Linked DNA regions of Schizosaccharomyces pombe. Changing the gene in region 4 together with the main gene of any one other region gives a genetic interaction. Each region holds a gene or a part of one and is shown on either strand. Other genes may lie near its edges.

Region 1 (6,656 bases), on a different chromosome or scaffold from region 4:
TAGGGGTTTTAAAGGCTTGGACGAAGTACTCAGATGGCAGATCAAAGTTGTTTATAACAGCACCTCCACAATTTGAATTTTGGCTACTAGAATACTCAAGGATTGATTATCTACCATTATCCAACATCGTATTTATTTCCAATAGTGCTTTACGTACTGACAGGAAGCCGTCTGCTTTGGAATCCTCTAGGTTGTCTTCTTTATTTAAAGAATTTGATTTAGTATCTTTTCGAACGGTTCCTGCCATACACTGCCCGTATTCATATTGCATGGAGATTACTAATTCCAGTGGTTGGAAGATCGCATACTCTGGAGATACTCGACCTTCTGAGGATTTTGCTAACATTGCCAAAGACTCAACTTTATTAATTCACGAAGCTACTTTGGAAGACTCTATGCACGAAATTGCAATAAAAAAGCAACACAGTACTTACTCTGAAGCTTTAGAAGTGGCCAAAAAAGCTGGTACAAAAAACGTTATTTTGACTCATTTTAGCCAACGATATCCCAAATTACCAGACATTGATATTTCGACAGAAGACTTACATATAGCTTTGGCGTTTGATGGAATGACTCTTAAAATATCGGATATCTCATTGTTTCGTTATTTTGGAAAGCCTCTGGCTTATCTATTTAATGAGGAAAATTTAAAAGAGGAGTCGGATCCTTTAAAGTTCTAACTACTTGAGCTATTGTCTCATATTATATAAATTGGGTCTCAGGCAAGTGATCTCTGTTGTTTAATGAAATGGGCAAACCTTTTCTTCATTATACAATTATGTTCATAACAAAATACTTCAGACTTCAAAAAAATTGTCAAGGTAATCCGTATCTATTAAAATAGTCCTGAAAACCATTAATGATCTTTTTTTCTTTTATTTCACTGAGTAACTACTATTTAACCCAAGGACCAAAATTTACGAGTGTAATTGACGACTTAATCAAACCTTTATGGAATAATCTAAAAAGAGGACAATTTTGAGTTTTAATTTATATCGGATAACCAAGTACTCTATGCAATTAAAGTAATTGTAGAACATGCGAGTTTTCGTCTAAGAAACTGAATAATAACAAACGAATAAACATCAGCTAAAGCGTAACACAAACCAGAAATACGAGACTTCCGTAGATTTGTAAATTAGAAAGAGTGAAAATTATTGAAAAACATGAAGTAAATTATAAATCTCTAAGTTTATCCATCACAAATTTGAAGAAATTGGTTGGGTGAAAAAGGGATGCCAAAGGGCCTCTTTTGCAGTTATTCGCCGCTTAGGATCGTAAACGAATACTTTTTTCAATAAATCAAGCAGCAAAGCCACTTCTGGAGATGATACTGCAAATATTTGCTCTAGCGTTTGCAGAGATTGAAGATAATTAATGCTTTTTTTAGGCGTATTTGACAAAGGATAACGGACTTTTCCGTCAGATTTAAAAAAACGTTGCGATGTACGAGAGGAACGCGAAATCATATTCCTATCAAAGGGACCCAGGATTTTTTCCATCATGCACAGATGCTCACTATCTTCATGGGTTTGAAACAAGGCTTGTCCCGTGAATAACTCAACTAAAATACATCCAATACTCCAAACATCGCAAGGATAAGACCAACCCAACCCTAAAATAATCTCTGGAGCACGATAATGACGAGTACTCACTACACTGGAATGGTATTCATCTTCAAATGTTGCACTACCAAAGTCGATAAGCCGGATTTCACAACTATTAAGGACTTTCTGTGAATAATTCCGATAAGGTAATCGAATAGTTCTTGAGGCATTAGATACCAGAAGAACATTTTCGGGTTTAAGATCGGTATGTACTAGTCCCAAAGAGTGAAGAAACGCAACACTTTTAAAAAGTTGTTGGGATAGCATCTGAATATGCTTCAAAGGGAAAGGAATGTAGTTGTTATTCTTTAAAAAATCAAAGACACTCCAGCCAAAAAGATCAGTCACAATGCAGATGTGCTTGCGGTAATCGAAATAATCGCGTAACTGAATGCACTTATTTTCATTTGTCGGATCACTATGAGCTATAGTTTGTAAAACTCTTAATTCAATGAGACTAGCTTCTCTGTACTTTGGAATTGCTCGAGTCACCTTGATAGCACAATGTCTACCTGTACTTTGATCGTAACACTGGATAACTTTGCCAAAAGTACCGTGCCCAAGCAAACGAACAACTGTATAACGGTTGGCAAATTTGGAGTTAGGTACAACCTTGTAATGACCGTCATCATCATCAAAAGTTGATGGATCAAAAGCGGTAGTATCATGCACAACAGGAACATTTACGCGGTCGACTTTTTTATATGGGGGCCATGCAGCTCGCTTCCTTTTCTTCGGAGGTCGATAATCGGAAATAGATACAGGAGTGATAACTTGATTGGCATTAGAAGCCGGTTGATAAACGTTTGCAGAAGGAGGTTGGAAAGTTGGTTGAGTCATCGGAAGCCATACGGCCAGCGTTGGAGATAATGGTACAGCGGTATGATTGTTAATGGAACTTGGGGTGACGGAATAATTTACACTTTTATGTTGAGACGATTGCGAGGAAGGAGCGATAGCAGTAGCCGGAGCTAGCTGAGGAGGGTTAGAAGGACAATACGTTGCAGGACATAGTGGGGGAGGATAAGAGGTTGGAGACGAGTAAGGATGATTATGGATGGGATGTGGAAGCCTGTTCGGATGGACTTGGAGCTTTGGTAAATTAGGGATCACTGGAGGTTTAGAAATTGGTTGGTGAGGTAAATTAGGAGAGGGAAGCGAAACCGGGTACCAGTGTGAAGGAACTTGAGGGACAGGAGGCGGCCGTAAAACAGGTTGACATGAAACAGGTAGTGGATTATGAAGGGGAGGATGATGTGAATGGGGAAATGGCGATTGATTATTTGAACACGCATGATACGATGTAGGAGACTGAACCATATATGAAGGATGGCTGGCGACATCATGCGGTAATGGAACGACGCCATTAGCATCCAACCATGGATCATAGGATTGAGGAAGAGATACCGAGTTAGTTGATGGATAAACAGCATTCGCACCATTGATAGGGACTGCCACAGTGCCAGTGGTAGAGGGTGATGATGATGAGGGAGGTTGCGGAGGTACGAAGGATTGTAATTGATGAACAGAAAAAGGAGGCGGTAAATTAGGGGTAAGCCGTGGAGAAGCTGAGTCCTCTATAACAATGACTTCTTGTGGAACACCATTTTTATAAAAGTCCTGCCAATCAGGCGCATGATTTCTACGACGTTTTAAGGAATGCATTTTACAATAAAAAGATTCCGTCTAAGTCATGCGAGCAAATTGGTAAAGTGAAGAGGTAGAAGACGTCGAAACCTGAAAAAAGGGATAAGTATCTTTTAGAATTATGCAAAACCAGAAGCAAAAATGATGAAAAGAGATACCAACCACCGAAAATAAGTGTTTCTCAAACAATAATAAGGGGAAAAGTTTCCTTGTTCGAAGTCACCAAGCGACAAAAGCAATAAAAAACCTTTTTTTTCGACTCGTCGAAGGGTAAGAACAAAATAGAAAGGCGGAATTTAAAAAATAAAAATAAAAAATGGACGAATTAAAGCAATAGAACTGAACTGACAAGCATTCGACAATTGGTGTTGGACCAGAACAGCTAGTTCATCAAGAAGCAGAGAATGGGAGGAAGAATGAGCAATCAAGTTAACTGGTACACCTACTTCGAAAGAGTTTCAAAATTTGAATGCAATCACGAAGAAAGAAGTTAAAATTCTCGACGTTGTAAAATTGCAAGGCCGTCGATCAAACGATAAATCAGCAAAGAAGCGGAAAACAGTGAGAAAGTGAACTTGAAATATATTTATCAAACCAAATGGTTTCTTATATCAGGGAGAAGAAAGCCGTTTTCTCAGAATAAAGACAATTGACGACAACCACTAAACCCCTTTCTCAATCAAATGTAGGGTGCAACAGTAAAGAGAAACAGCAAATGCAAAAAGGTATCGGAGAGAAATAAATATCTACAATACCGGAGAATAAGTATGCCGAACACGGAGGGTCTGTAAAGGCAAATCAAACACGAAAAAACGATAAACACCAAACCTTCAATCAACAACTAGCGGAAACCTTTGTATCAATCGTATTGCTTTAAAGTAATGATGTTCCAAGGCAATATTGTACCATGAGACAATGATGAGGTTTTTGTGTTTGAGGGGGTGCGATTGCGCTACTACCAAAATTGATCAATGTCCAAATCAGGCGGATTAGTAATTTGGATAAAACAAAAGTATAAATAACCCCCAAAAGAATCGGCAATTACCAGGGCAGTTTTCAAAAGCACACAAAGTCGACGACAAGCGATGTAGCTGTAGTACGAAAGTCTACCTAACAAAATGGTAGATCGTAGATGGAGAAAAGCAAGTAGTGAGTGTAGTAAATTGAAGAATGAAGTATATACGACTCTTAATAAGCAATTTTCTTTTTCTTTCCTTCAATCCCACAGAATGTAATTCCAATGGGGGGGGGGTAAAACAACAAAGCAATGTCCTAATAATACAACTGCTAAGAAAACTAGTAATTGAGGATAGAAAGGATAAAAGAAAAAGCCTCAAGCCAATTCGAGGGATGTGGAGAAAGTAAAAAGGAATTAGCAAGAGTTTGGATAATAATAAGTTGCGTTTTCTTTGGTAAAGCCACTTAGAAAAGGTGAAATTTGCATGAGATAATCATGTTTGTGAGACCGGAACAACATCATTGTTATTCTATCCTTAAAATAAAATAGCTGGAAAAAATTGGCCGGACGAGGGAACAACCCAACAATCACCATCCAGGCGCGTTGCGTTTGGCACCTCCTTCCTATGAAAAAGTATACACATTCCACAACACCATGTGCGCAGTATGCAACGTACCTAGCCGTCACCCAACTATAGCGTAAGAGACGCTTGCTACTCTGAAGGGCTGAGATCTACGAAAACCGCCATGGCCGTAGAGGCAGAGGCGCTGAATGAATTTTCATTAATTTAGATCACTAATCATTTACCATTCAAATGCCGCTCCATTCAACTCAACCATATTCACTTAAGGAGTTTTCGTAAGAAATGGCTTATCATTGTCATCATACCATTCAAACATCAATACACACCACACATACACACACACACAAATGTACACAAGCATGCACACTCATACACATATATAAACGCATGTTTACATAAATAGTTATAAAATTTACATATAGTTTTACGCATAAATAATGCAACTGTCATTCTCACCATCTCTATCCAACTCTACCTACCATGTACTATATACTGTATTATACAATGAATGCTATATGCCCGCTTATACTGTAGCTGCCTTGTCGCCCGCCCCATTTGTCCATGGTATAGTATTCCGCACAATTCTTTACCAGAATAGAAATGAAATATAGAAAACATGCCTTTTCAGAAGCGTTTCTCACACTTTCAACAAATGTCGTCCAGCCCATCTGCCAAATTCTCTTACCAAACTAGTCTTGATTATGGCCATCCGTCCTCGGTAATCGAATATTTCGTCCAAACAGCGACGCTTGGCCATCAAAAAATTTAGTGGATGACAATAATCTATGTAACAAATAATACGATAAAATTGCCATGATGAGTAACAAAACAACAAAGGCAATAATTCATCAACTATTGAATAATCATTTAATGGTCGCGAAAAGGAAACAAATATAATTTTCTACAATCAATCATCTACAATGACTGATGTTAGAGCTTGAAAACGGGATGTGAAAAATTCAATCAACATGACTTCAAATGGGGTGAGAAATTGTAATTAAGCAAAGGAAAAAAATAGGCAACAAGGCATGGTTGTAGCTGCAATTAAGGGACTAATGTGTCGTGAAACTCAAAAATGTAAAAAAAAGAATGACAATCCCCTTGCATAATTGAATTACCCGTTGAAATTTTTGGGAAATCCGGTTACTGCAGACGGAAGTTGAAAGTCAACTTTATCTCGGTTCTTTTTTTCCTTTTTTTTTTTTTTTGCAACTTCCTTACCGGCACGCAAGGTCCGTCGCACTTCTGGACCAGGAGTAAACTGCTTACTTATTGAAAGAACAAAGAAAATTTTAACCTTTCTTTAAATACGCTTTCTTTTCTTTTTCTTTTTTCAGGCTATTTTTTTGCTCCTCCCGTCATCCCTAATAGCTAGTCGGCTTTAACGATTATTATTTTAGGAGATGCTAAAGTGCAGATTGACGGTCTTGTTCGTAATTTGCAATCAGTCTATGTCATGATCCCTGACCTCAGTACAGTGGAAGCTGTCTGGCTGGCAAGGGTAAAGGCTAGTAAGTACTATCAATTATGTATGTCAGTTGTGGATGGGGAATTATTATTGAGACTTTTTACAAAGTGTCAAGCTCGAGATTTGGCCATTACATGTCGGTAAAGCAGCTGAACAGCGATATGCCGTTCATAAAAAAGCGTCAGCACAAGTGAAATCAAGTGTCATGACATGAAAGTCTAATCGGTTATTTGCAACATTAACCGAAACTTGTAGAAAATGCGCTCTTTGGCAGTTGAAAAACGCAGACATTACAGATGCTATAAATACATAGTATTAAAAACATAATAACAAATAACAATAACATGTTAATTAATCTTGCTATACATAGTAACATCTATAAAACGCAGTGTA
Region 2 (5,724 bases), 3.0 Mb from region 4:
AAACATCAGTAACTACTATCATTAATCAGAAATCTGAAGAATAAATCAACATTGTAGAAATCCTTTTCTCTGCAATTTGCCAAAGCTCCGATCATGTTAGTTGAGCCAGTAAATAAAAAAAAAGAACAAATGCTTCCTAACAAATCTACATTTTATCCATAGAGAGCAAAATTTTACGATTGTTCTTTTATTTACAGAAGCATCCAGCTTAATTTTTATAATCAATTTGAAAAGCAGCTCTGAGTCAACTAAAGAAGAACGAAACATGCCGCCTTGTTTACTACTAATTTCAAGGTCTGCGAAATCCAATTTTTTTAAGAGTTTAATTTAGCAAAACCTTGCCAGTGTTCTATGGCTGCCTTTAAATCTAAATTATAAGGAGTAATGTCTTATACGTGAAGTTATAATTATCGATAAACTATGGTTTCTTATGAAGAGCTTTGCAAATGCTAAAGAATGCTACTGGAATCATCGGTAACAAAATAATATAAAAAATAGGATAATGATTTAGTATATATATATATATATATATTAATTATTAGTAATAATTATTAAATAAAACATCTAAGTTTATTCATAAAAGCAACAATTAACGACTGTAGAATTTTTTATTTTTTAACTCACAAAACACCAGTACGCGATAGAGAATTCTCGCGAGCTTATAAAGGCACAGCCTTAAAGTAAACATTTGATGCACGAACTTTTTGATTCAAAATAGTAGATGACGATGAATCCATGGCTTTGAAAAAGAAAGTGCTGTCAGCCAAAATTTTAACATCTAAATATTCGGAAAATGCGCCGTAAGTAAGCTTAAACTTGTAAGTTCCATCTCCTTCATCCTCAATGAAAAAGTAAGTTTTGGCAAGATCACCCTCCATAGTACGGTAATAAGGTCTTTCATCACAACATGTAACAACCCGCTTCAAAGTACTATCGTAGTAGAAAATTCCTTCAGAACCGGCGGGCGAAGGGTTCGAACTAGCAATACCAAATCCGTCAGATTCCCGGTAAGTCAGGTAAGAAGGAGAGATTGAATCGTTTTCGACAAGAATACGGAATGCATTACTGCTGGTACATTTGCTATTACAGCCAGGGAATAAAGAAGGTACCACTTGTAATACAGTACCAGTAGACGTACCCGAAGCTGTAGCCACGGTAGTAGCATACGAACTAGAGCCCAATGAAGTTGTAACAGTAACATACCCAGCAGTAGGTTCAACGATCATTACAGTTCCCGATACTGTACCCTGTACAGGATATGTGGTAGTATATCCAACTGATCCAGAAACAACCGTTTCAGTAACAACACCAGCAGTCGGTTCAACAACCTCAACCGTTCCTGAAACAGTGTCATGAGCCGGATATGTAGTAGTATATCCAACCGATCCAGAAACAACCGTTTCAGTAACAACGCCAGCAGTAGGTTCAACAACCTCAACCGTTCCTGAAACAGTGTCATGAGCCGGATATGTAGTAGTATATCCAACCGATCCAGAAACAACCGTTTCAGTAACAACACCAGCAGTAGGTTCAACAACCTCAACCGTTCCTGAAACAGTGTCATGAGCCGGATATGTAGTAGTATATCCAACTGATCCAGAAACAACCGTTTCAGTAACAACACCAGCAGTAGGTTCAACAACCTCAACCGTTCCTGAAACAGTGTCATGTGCGGGATATGTAGTAGTATATCCAACCGATCCAGAAACAACCGTTTCAGTAACAACACCAGCAGTAGGTTCAACAACCTCAACCGTTCCTGAAACAGTGTCATGTGCGGGATATGTAGTAGTATATCCAACCGATCCAGAAACAACCGTTTCAGTAACAACACCAGCAGTAGGTTCAACAACCTCAACCGTTCCTGAAACAGTGTCATGTGCGGGATATGTAGTAGTATATCCAACCGATCCAGAAACAACCGTTTCAGTAACAACACCAGCAGTAGGTTCAACAACCTCAACCGTTCCTGAAACAGTGTCATGTGCGGGATATGCAGTAGTATATCCAACCGATCCAGAAACAACCGTTTCAGTAACAACACCAGCAGTAGGTTCAACAACCTCAACCGTTCCTGAAACAGTGTCATGAGCCGGATATGTAGTAGTATATCCAACTGATCCAGAAACAACCGTTTCAGTAACAACACCAGCAGTAGGTTCAACAATGATATGTTCACCGCTGACTGTTCCACTAGCAGAAACTACACTAGTAAAAAACCTTGAACCAGACACTACAGTCATAGTGTTCGTACCAGCGGTAGGCAAAACAACCTCTACAGTTCCACTCACAGTGCCACTAGCATCCGTAGTAGTGGTAAAGAACTTTGAACCGGAAATTTTAGTAACAGTACGGGTTCCGGCAGTAGGGATTACTACCTCAACAGTACCACTAGTAGTTCCATTGGCAGGGAATGTGGAAGTATACAATTCAGAACCAGAAATCTCGGTTTCAGTGACAGTACCAGCAGTGGGTATCACAACTTCAACTGTGCCCGTCCTTGTTCCACTAGCAGGATACGTAGTATTAAATATTTCAGATCCTGAAACAATGGTTTCAGTCACCATACCAGCAGTAGGGTAAACAATAACCTGTTCACCGCTGACTGTTCCACTAGCAGAAACTACACTAGTAAAAAACCTTGAACCAGACACTACAGTCATAGTGTTCGTACCAGCGGTAGGCAAAACAACCTCTACAGTTCCACTCACAGTGCCACTAGCATCCGTAGTAGTGGTAAAGAACTTTGAACCGGAAATTTTAGTAACAGTACGGGTTCCGGCAGTAGGGATTACTACCTCAACAGTACCACTAGTAGTTCCATTGGCGGGGAATGTGGAAGTATACAATTCAGATCCAGAAACGGCTGTTTCAGTAACTGTTCCAGCAGTGGGTATCACAACTTCAACTGTACCACTAGTAGTTCCATTGGCAGGAAATGTGGAAGTATACAAGTCAGATCCAGAAATCGTAGTTAAGGTGATTGTCCCTACCGATAGATATTTTGATGTAATATCATTAACGCTGGTATTTGAATTGGTGATGCGATTGGAATACGGCGTTGTAATATTTGACGATCCTGATGTTGAGTAAATAGCAGTTGTCGTCGGATTTGTAGGCAAATTGGTTGACCAGGTATCGTTAGTTGATTTATGCCTCTCTGACGATGGATGATACTCGTACACAACATCATCGGTCCCTGTAGTATCATAATAGACAGACGTATAATCAGAAGTTCCACTGAAGAATGTAATTGTCTTCGTATTATGTCGCTGAGAAGAGGTTGTTGAAACATTATTAGAAGTAAATTGACCACTTGTTGATATCAAAGGCGAAGAAGTACTTAACAATGTCCCGTTGGATAGGCTTACGCCATTACTATAAGAGTTGGGGGGAATGGTAATTGTTGTTTCGTACTCGCCTTGCGAATAAATAGTAGTATATCGCAGACATGTGTCGCCATCGTCCCGGCGCACAAAATCCTTATAATCTACCTTGTCATGCTTCTCTGCATTAGAAGTCGATTTTAGTGTAAATGCAAGAAAGAGAAGCCTTAGTAGAATTTGGGGAAACAGGCTCATGTTCCGCGAATCTCTGTATCAATCAATCGTAAAACACAATATACATAAATAAAGCTTTTGCACTTTTGATCCAGAAGTTCCCAAATCGGCTAAAATTACTCGAACATAAAAAACCAAAACTAACTAAGCAGGTTGAAAGCTTTTTATACTTCGCAATAAAAAATTCTCAAGTCTCTCGATCCGTGTACCCAGCCAGTGTGTTTATAGGGATAAAATAAAATTACATCTTCATAGAAAACTCCGAAATTTTTCGGCTTCAAACAGAACAGATGGTAGGCAAGCAGCCGTTTAATCCTGACTGATTTTAAAAATAACTTTTTTAACCTTCCTGACCATATTGCAATGTTGGATAAAATATTACCGTACCGGATTTATCCGAATGCTTGAATGGCTTGAGATTTCCCTATGTGAGTACTATCTTAAAGAAAAAAAAAAAAAAAAAAAAAGGAAAGGAAAGGAAAAAGAGAAAAACAAAGAGATTATTTTCTTCAGTCCTTAAAAAGTCTATGGTGAAACAGTAAACGAATTTGGGAGATTTATTAGCGAATTTTTTTCCATTCCTGCGAGTAACTGATGTGTTCCATTTTATATACTTGATGAGAGAGCGTCTAAAAATTTTATACTGCTTTTCTGAATTTACATAGACTAATAAGAAAACCCGCACTAGATAGGAAGATTGACTAAAGAAGAAAGGAACAAAATTTACGACTTAAATCCAGTGATCTGACAAAATCTTCTGCATATTGCCTAAATGTGATGATTTTTCGTTTAATTTCCAGAAATAACATTGTTTTTATTTATGATTTAATCTTATTGTCACGTTCATTTGTTGTTTTCTAGTTTCATGTAGATCGTCGTCTCTTTAAGCTCACTTGACTATTTGGGGAAACCTGGGTAAACGAGAGAAAGCATCGCTCTACAAAAATAGATTTGCTAAAATATAAATTGGTTTATTCATAGAAAACTTACATAGATTAGTAACAAGTACAGAAATCTAAAACAAACTCTATCGTAAGCTTATTCGAAGGTTATAAATGTGGATGATGGGTGAATAATTGAATAAAATGAATGTACACAAGGTTTTCTATACGCAACGGTGTTGTATGGTATTAAAAAAAAAAGATACCTTGCAAATAAAAGGAGGATAAATTGAAAACATTAATAAATTAAAAAGAAAATCAACATTGAGTAAAAGCAAATAAAATAAATCAAAAAGAATAAAGAAAAAAATAAAATAAAATAAAAAATAAAAAAATGATATGCAATGACGAAAAATTATGAAATATACAATTCTATTCTATTTCATTTAATTATTAAATTTAGTGGACGTAAATTAAAGAGAAAATTCAAATTTAATATAAAATTATTAATTTTGTAAGTTTAGACACAATAATCCATCAAGTAAGCATAACTCTGACATAAAGTAAATAAAAAAAAAAAAAAAATTAAAAAAAAAAATTTAATAATAATTATAATAAAAATTTAAATGAAAAACTGTTCAACATCAATACTTATCATAAATATTCCGACTCAAAACACTTCCTCTAAGAGTTTTTTCATCTCACTCATAATACTTTTTCTATCCAAATTTCCGATGTTTTTTCCCATACCATACATACTGTGGCTTAAACTGATAACTTACTATTCCTCCTTAACAGCCAAGAGTTGACTGTTTTACCAAGTCCATTTCGAACTGCTATGATCGTTTAATAATGTCATTTTGCACATATTTGTTTGCCATATGCATGCACATTTGCCATGCCCCTTGTCCATCTTCTATGTGCTGCTGGAAAGTCGGGTAAACGGGTAAAATTGAAGGTTTGTAGCATGTGTGTATGTGCTATCCCATCTAATGAGCTTGGATGGAGTTATTTGCTTACTGATATTGCAAAGGGGGAAAAGCGAATTGGAGACTTTTTTCTTGCATTAGAAGGGTACTATTGATTACCTTTTGTTTAATAGGGCACCTTGGCAGAATGCGAAAAAGTAAGCCAGAAAAAAAGGAAACTCTAGAAAAAGAGAGGCAATTGATTAAAGAGTATTAATAATAATAATATTTAAAGGAAGAAAAGAAAAGAAAGCCAATAATCGACTGCTAGAATATCCAACCCATTTAAATTTTTCATTTTTTTAACGAACTCTC
Region 3 (3,656 bases), on a different chromosome or scaffold from region 4:
TTAATAAGTAAAAGAGACTTTCCACAATTTAAATTCTTGCTTAAGTTTTCTTTTTTAGTAATAATGAGTAAAAAAATTCTGAATGGTCTAATATTAAACTCAAAACAAGCGCTAGACTAGTCTAGCTCCTTATCTTTAATTGTCATTTTCCTTATACAAAACTTGTCTATAGTTACTATTTAGATCTAATATTTTTTTAAGTGATTAAATTTCACTTAAGGAAATTATAACCAGTTTATCCAAACTTATCTTTAAAACCGGCCACCACTATTTTTTACGAAAAGCATAATCTACAAAATTTACTAAAATTTATCCTTTCCTGTTCAATTTTAGTACGGTTTACCTAAACCTAGTTATTTAACAAATATCAATGATTACTATGAAAGCAATTAATTTGAACTTAGATTAAAATATGCATTCCTAATACCACTAGTTATGATTAATTTAAAAAAAAAAAAAATAAATAAAATACAAATTTTGTTTACGAAAGTAATAATTGTGCCGATAACTTGGAACAGTATTTTATTAGTAGAGCAATCAATTTCTAGTGGAAAAAATAATTAAGAACTATTTAAATATCCCTATTTTCAGTTTACAGCAGAACTTGAGAAAAATATGAAATCCGAGGAAGTCAACTTCTTGACATCTTCAATAGGGATTGATAAAGGATTTCATGGATTGTAATTTTAAAATATTATATCAAATGAATGTAAAAAAAATTATATGTATGACCTGAAATACAAAAAATTAAACGAGAGTATGTGCAATTCTAAATTTGCTGCTTCAACTAATACAGTTGAAGTGTAACATCATTGGCCCTAAAATTTCTTTCGTCGGTTGATGAAACTTCTGTATCATATTCTTGTGAAGTCATCCATACTCTTCCATTGTTATCTACATGAAAGTGTAGTGGCTCATTATTTCTTGATTCAACAGGAGTAAATATGCCATCGCTATTTTTAATGAGATTCCAAGCACTTGAAAAACCATTGCCTATAATTGGATCTTCAATGTATACAGTGTAAGACGGTCTTTGACAATCACATGTTAATACTCGTTGAATAGTGGAATCATAGTAGAAAAGGTTTAGTCCCTCGTTGTCTCCATTAGTTGAAGCAAACATATTCCCCTCTCGACCGGCACCATTAGTTCTCACGGGTGCGTTTGGATCCATGTACACGTAGGAAGGGCTGATTTTATCATTGTCTATTTTAAGATGGAATGAATTTTCAGGACTGCATCCACAGGACGGTGTGATAACCTCCACTTCACCTGACTGTGTTCCAGAAGCTGTTCGCACTGTAGTTGTTGCGACAGGATAACTGGATCCAGAAGTCAATGTAGTTGTGAAAGTACCAGCAGTAGGGATTACCACTTCAACGGTATCAACAGGTGTGTTTTGACCGGTAATGGTAGTAGTATAGAGTTGCGAACCAGATGTTATAGTAGTCGTAATAGTGGATGTGATGATAGACTCAGAGGATACCGAAGTTTCATCGATATTGTTGCTAGATACGCCAGATGTCGAGATAGATGTTGGATAAATCGTTGTAGTTCCCGGTGTTATACCATTAGTGTAAATAGTAGTGAATAAAGGGCAAGCTGTTGAAGAAGCTTCACCGCCTACTGAATTGGTATCTTGACTTGATTCAAGAACAGCTTGGTTTACGCTTCGCTTTTGTATCTGTGTAAAATTATATGTGTTCGCGTTAACTAATAACAAAGGCGCCAGAGCAAAGCTAAAAATTATGTACTTCACCACATTCATTGTTTATAGGAGAAAAATTTTTAACGACTTCTGATCGCTAAATATGAACCGAAAAGACGTGTGAGAAGGCCTGTTCATTTATACAAAAACTGCGCATATAAAACCAGTACCCAAAATTTCGGAAACCCCCTTATTGTTAATCCCATAGTTATTTTTATTCGAATTCTCAATATCAAATTAAAAAATTTGAGTTCTATAAAAAGATCATTATCGGAACTTCGAAATTAATGTAGTCTACTATTTATACTGCTTCTGAGAAACTTAGTTACTTTAAGACAAGGCAATGCACATTTGTTAACGCGGCTCGCATGTTTTCGTAGTAATTCACATACCGATCGAGTTCGCAATATATGCTAGCAACAGAAATTGACGCCTCTCGTTAATTTTCTTAAGAGTCTATTATTAACCTACTTCTCTTTCAGTACAGTCGCCTTAATGAATATTTTTTTGATAAAACTACATTCATATTATTGATTTGATACTATGTAGCAAATTTCTTATAAAACACCTATACTCACTGCAGACAGTCTGGAGGCAACTTAGCACTGAAAACATGTGATTCGAAAAGGTAGTCAAATTTTTTTGTTAACATTTTAATTACTAGGTTGTTAATACTGAAATAAAAAGATGAAGCAAATCAAAACATACCTATCATTTTCAAAACATTTTAGAGTAGTTAAACCGGCATCACTCATTAATAGCCATGAAAGCTTTGGCTTATATAAACCAATATTGATGCAACGAGCACCGATTAAAGCTACAAGTGAATCGAAAAGCTTTTATCAATCGACTGCCCTCCACAGTAAATTGAACTAATTTCAAAAAATTAAAGAGTTAGTTATTATAAAAGACTAGTTTTAATTAAGATGTTTAACGGTAGCAACTTAATGCATGCCGATATAGATATATATATTAATGATTTAACGTTACAGTTGCTGAATAAATGATTAACTGATATTTTTAAAATTATGAAAAAAATGAAAGCATCAACTACATGATACATAGATTGAATAAATAAACCAATATATATCACAAATTTATTCAGAGTGATAAACCGACAAAGCATGTATATTTATCAGAACAACCATACAATTGTACCGGCAATAAAATTAAATCATATAAAACACTAATTATTCTCTTGATACTTTGCTGCGCATTCCAAATAAAGAAATACACGAAATTTTCCCATGATATTTACACTGATATTATTTCGGACGAAATGTCAGTCATTTTAACCGAACACTTTACTAAGAGACAATGATTTATCGATTGCATTTCGTTCGCTTATCATTTAAAGTTCATCTATGCAACTGAGGACGTTTAAAATTTAGCATTTTAAAAAAAAAATTTATTCCTTTTTTGAGACATTAATTTATTAAGAAATACCACTCTTAACTTTTCTTCTTTGCCTGAGCCAAATATCAAAAAAGAAAAAAACTCCATATGATTTAGGTTGTTTAATGAAATTTCGCTAGACAATTCTTAATTGAAAACTGCTCGGCTATTTTATTGTTTAGCATTGAGTTATTTTTTTATAACAAAATAAAGAGCTGAATCCATACTTAGCGTTGAAGTCTTCTTAATTTTTATATACGCTAAGACATACTATTAATATTTGGAATGTCAATATAGTCCAGATCAATGACTTTGGACCTGGTAAATTATTTGCAATTAGTATACTATTATTAGAAATATTTCATCGTAACAAATTCTATGAATCGGTATTTGTTTTTAAGTACGTTTGATAGAATTGGATAGTATATTTACAGGTATAAAACGAATCCATTAAGGTTTTGTCTTCAAATAACACCAAAAACATAAATTCTGTAACAGACTACTGAGTACTTCTGCATTTTATTTCACAAACTATCGAAAAGCTGTTTATACG
Region 4 (4,445 bases):
TCGATTCATTGCGAAATCAAATTACTCATAAGCTACCTCTCTGGTTATTTTTTCCCAATGTACTGTATTCGTATTGTACCCCATTCTTACCGGATACATTTATTAATAGAGCAAGTTACGAAAAGCAAAATCAGAGCGAGTCTATTTTCGGACTTGTGTGTCTAAGTATAGTCAAGGAGCGGAGACAACACTCGTAATATTGTTCCTTCACGCCCTCCTCCCCCTTTCCCCTTTGAATTGAGTATCGTACACTGCATCAGTAATAGGGTCAGCGTTTCCAATTGACTGACTGGTTGAAAAGTGAAGGATTACATACGAAAATCCCTAAACGCGATCATCAGCGCATTCCGAATTTTCGTATCTTTCTATCTCTTCGATTCTTTCTTTAGCCTTGCCAAGTATTTTGGCTGGCCCATACGCTTTGCCTGACTATCGCGTCTAAAAATAAAATCCCCTTTCCAAAACCTTGGATTAGGTGCATGGGATTACTATGATTCTTTCCTAATAATTGCTAATCCCGCTTTCTTTCTATTTTTTTCTACTATTACTGCAAAGTCAGGTTTGCAATCCAAGTGGACTTTAACCATACTCAAAAGGTACCTTCTAACCTTCTTTCCATTATGTCCATCTTCCTCCTCCAATTAAAGGATTTTCCTACTTAGGGCTCATTTAATCGAGGCTATCCCACCTTTTTCATGAAAAAGTATTCGGCCTTGTGACCTCCCCTTTTCGAAAAGAGAGATGAAGAAATAGTTTAAATTACCCGAGTAGCCGAAACGGTGAATTTTCAGAATGTCTACATGAGGAACATAATGTACACTTATACGCGTTTGTATATTGAGAATTCATCGGTAATGTTGGCAAAGTGCTACGCATCTTCGGATAAACGTGAATGGAAGACATTTAGCCCCTAATTTTGGTGTACTTATGCAGGAAAAACCTATCCCTTAACAATTGCCTATGGAGGGAAAGAGAAAATTTTTTTCGTTCACTATTGGAATTTATTTTCTTTTGCATAAATATGTACAATGGTATGTTACGATGCTGGCGTCGATACTTGTCTAAGTTAGAACGCAGTGTGTATTACGAAGGTTGCATTAAATAGACGTTGCGGTTTCCTAGTTATTGCTATCCCTGTATATATATACACATATATATGTACAAAAACACGTATTTACACGCACTTATAAACGCACACAGACAACAAACAAATACCTAATTTTATAATTTCAAGTTGTTGAGACAGATTAATTTATTTATAAAACTTGGCGAGAAGATATTTTTAAACCTGACATTGAAAAGGAGGGGACAATTGTTAAAAATATAGCTTCAAAGGCAAAAATTTCTCCAAAGTGTTGATTCTTCCTCTTTCTATTTTAAAAATAGCACACAAAAACATCTAGTCATTTAATTTGTCTTTGTTCCTCTCATTTGTAAACACTTGAAAACCACCCGTTCCGGCTATCTTGTTTACTAAAAAAATTTTTTCTATTAATATCTTTAGTTTCGTCGCCCGCTTCAACCCAGAGTACAAAAACAAAAATAGCTTCCTCGTTTTTAAATCTCAACTTAGATTCGTCTAATCGACTATCAATTACGAGCACAATTGGAGAACTTTGCGCTCTTGTTTTCTCAAGCGAAAAATCTACCCTCAAGAGATCCGGTGCAGAGAAGGGAAGACAGGGATAAAAACTGTTACATAAATTCCAAGAATAAACCCCATCTGCTGTTTTCTATTTGTTCCTTATATACTTGCCCGTTTGCTCGCTCGTTTGCTCGTTTGTTTTCGTCATTCTCCCTATACCTGAATTTTGGTTAACCTCGTCGACTCTTTTTCTCTTTTCTCGTCAAACCTTACTAAATATATACAACGTCTAATATGGGGCGCAAAAAAATCTCCATTGCACCCATAACCGACGATCGTTCAAGGAGCGTAACTTTTGTCAAACGAAAACAAGGTCTCTACAAAAAGGCGTATGAACTCGCTGTGCTAGCCGATTGTGAAGTCGCCGTCACAGTCATTGATCGGAAAGGACGTTTGCACGTCTTTTGTTCCTCTGACTATCAACGTACTCTTCAACAACTCAACACTCTCAGCATATATGAGTTAAAAAACCGTTCTCATTTTTCGTCATCGCCTGTCGAAGAGTCAAGTACCGTGTCTCCAGAAACGACAACTGGTTCATTTACTCCTCTTAATAATAAGCATTTGAAGTCACAGGACCAACCTTTATCAGACTCCCAACTCGACACTGGTGATTCTCCTGCAACATCGGAAACGACTGTTCAGGACTATAATCCTCAAGTTCAGTCTTACTGTCGTCCCGAGCCTTTATCGTCTAATCACGTTCGTTCTTGTCCTCCATTTCCTCCCACACAACATCATCATCCCCATACTCGTCCTCCTCATCATCCACCTCATCCTCATTTTCATAACAATAACTATCCACCGCCCTATTGTTTCCAATCTCCTGTGTCTCCGGGTGCTACAGTTCCATTGCAACATCATTCTCCGTACCCTAGTGATAACGGCTTTCCTGGTCATCGTAGGCAAACGCACTTCGCTCCTTACTACTATCCACAAAGAGCTACGTCTCCTTCTTTGAAACAAGTTCCAACTTATCTGGGTACTCATGTACTGCAACAAGACCAGTCCACCTATGATCAGAAGGTCCTTATGCCTCCAGCAAGTTATCTTTCTTCACCTAATCAATACACCTTAAAAAATGTCTCTCCTGGTAACCCGGCTTGCCCTCCTTTTCTCTATGAACATCCAAATCCACAGCTAACGCCTGAGATGTTTGATGTTAAACAAGGCTCACCTATTCCGCCTACTGCGTATTCGGGTAGCAGTTGTGAGACTTCTCAACATACCATTGCGAATACTCCATTTTTGGCATATGATCGCTCTCCTTCCTTAACGAATCAAGAAGCTGAATCATCCTTCCAAGACGTAGCTTCCATTAGTCCACATTCACTCAGTGATGTCAAATACTAAAGAATATCATAGAAGTCAATCTCCCTTTCAAATGTCTTCATCATGTGTCCTCCCTGGATCTAATGAATCGTATACAAGTAATAATTTTAGTTGGCATACATCTCGATCAAATCCTTACAATCGTTTTCTTACTCAAACTGCATATGATTTGGAGCAATCCAAGCACCAATAGTTTACTGCCAAGCTGTGCGATGCCCATTTTTTTAATTTGACTTACATCGCATTCCAGTAAACAATTGTTAATACTAGGTCTATCAATTTATCGTTATAGTTGAATTACGCGAACGAAATTACTGACCTAGCAATAATTGAAGTTTGGAATGTTGTTCAATAAAATGGACACCTACCGATAGCTTATGGATTCAATGTGAACTACAAACCTAGCATGATTTCAGACGCTAGCAAATACAAATACCTGAACATTTCAGATGTGCCAATGGTTTAACTTTGTTAACTTCCATCTTCGGTATTTTGGATCCTCCCTGTTATGAATTCAAGATGGTGATTTTCGGTTTAAATATTTATTTGCAAACTGCGGGCAGTTTATCACTTATTTATTCAGGCACGCATTTTGTCTATTCAAGTGGACTAAGTTTTTTCGTGATTTTGTTTTAACCACCTCCTTCCACTTCATTAATTAATTCACCAACATGTAACATTCGCGGACCAACCTTTATGTTCGCATTCAAATTTTTTTTTGGAGCCGCTAATTTCTAATTAGACGTTTCTCATTCGTTTTCAAGGTTATACATGGTTTATTTTCGTGTGTTTGACTCGATTTTTTGCTAGATTTTTCACGGTTTCTCCTTTTTAATCAAGAACGTTTGACGATTCACAGAACCTTTTTCAAACCCCTAATTACAGTTTTCAACAATAACATGAGAAATTCGAACTTTCCGTGTAGTTTTACAGAGTAATGTTTAAGTGTTTGTTAGTATGTCGGTGTGTAAGTGTAGCGTAGCGATAACCGTCCAGCTTCAAAGGTAAGATGCAGGGGAGTAATGCAGCAGCTAATTTTATATGGCGGAATGAGCATGGTAGCACTCTTCAAAGAAGGTGGAATAGGAATTTGGCTTCATGCGAAATTATGTTAACAGAAACCTGAGTTTCTGTAACATATTATTATATACGTGGCTTAGGACATCCAAACAAATAAATGAAATTCTTTAGTATAAGAAGATGAAGAAGATATAAAAGATTACCAATGTTATGCAAACGATGGAACATGAATCAACCGCATAAAACTCAGTCGCTGTATCAAAAATGACCATCGTGGGATGCTGACATAGGCAATCAAGTTTCTCACTTCAAATAAATTAGAGACTGATTTGGCAAATATTTGAGAATTGATCCTCTATTTGACAAATCATTTTAACTTATTTTATGACAGACAAGTCTGTTTGTATTTTGGGAATAAAACCTCGCATTATCCAATTAAAACGTCTGT

Evidence for each region.
Region 1: of mbx2 (region 4) and lkh1, changing one suppresses a phenotype caused by changing the other (phenotypic suppression), as found in Schizosaccharomyces pombe (one study listed by BioGRID).
Region 2: of mbx2 (region 4) and pfl3, changing one suppresses a phenotype caused by changing the other (phenotypic suppression), as found in Schizosaccharomyces pombe (one study listed by BioGRID).
Region 3: of mbx2 (region 4) and pfl9, changing one suppresses a phenotype caused by changing the other (phenotypic suppression), as found in Schizosaccharomyces pombe (one study listed by BioGRID).

The regions. Positions count from the first base shown.
Region 1 is NC_003424.3:655,561-662,216, forward strand, and holds lkh1 (dual-specificity), read right to left. Parts: upstream 4,618-6,656; 5' UTR 3,273-4,617; coding exon 1,200-3,272; 3' UTR 681-1,199; downstream 1-680. Other genes in the region: 3' tRNA-processing endonuclease tRNAse Z L2 Trz1, read left to right, coding at 1-680. UniProt on the Schizosaccharomyces pombe protein: Protein kinase that may act as a negative regulator of filamentous growth and flocculation. Appears to have a role in normal cell wall and septum formation and in cell separation.
Region 2 is NC_003423.3:669,081-674,804, forward strand, and holds pfl3 (DIPSY family glycoprotein), read right to left. Parts: upstream 3,756-5,724; 5' UTR 3,582-3,755; coding exon 660-3,581; 3' UTR 501-659; downstream 1-500. UniProt on the Schizosaccharomyces pombe protein: May be involved in agglutination during conjugation or other aspects of colony formation. Induces flocculation when overexpressed.
Region 3 is NC_003424.3:5,525,804-5,529,459, reverse strand, and holds pfl9 (DIPSY family glycoprotein), read right to left. Parts: upstream 1,769-3,656; coding exon 788-1,768; 3' UTR 501-787; downstream 1-500. UniProt on the Schizosaccharomyces pombe protein: May be involved in agglutination during conjugation or other aspects of colony formation. Induces flocculation when overexpressed.
Region 4 is NC_003423.3:3,624,760-3,629,204, forward strand, and holds mbx2 (MADS-box transcription factor), read left to right. Parts: upstream 1-1,879; coding exon 1,880-2,998; 3' UTR 2,999-3,899; downstream 3,900-4,445. UniProt on the Schizosaccharomyces pombe protein: Acts in transcription regulation. May bind to a MEF2-like typee II promoter sequence.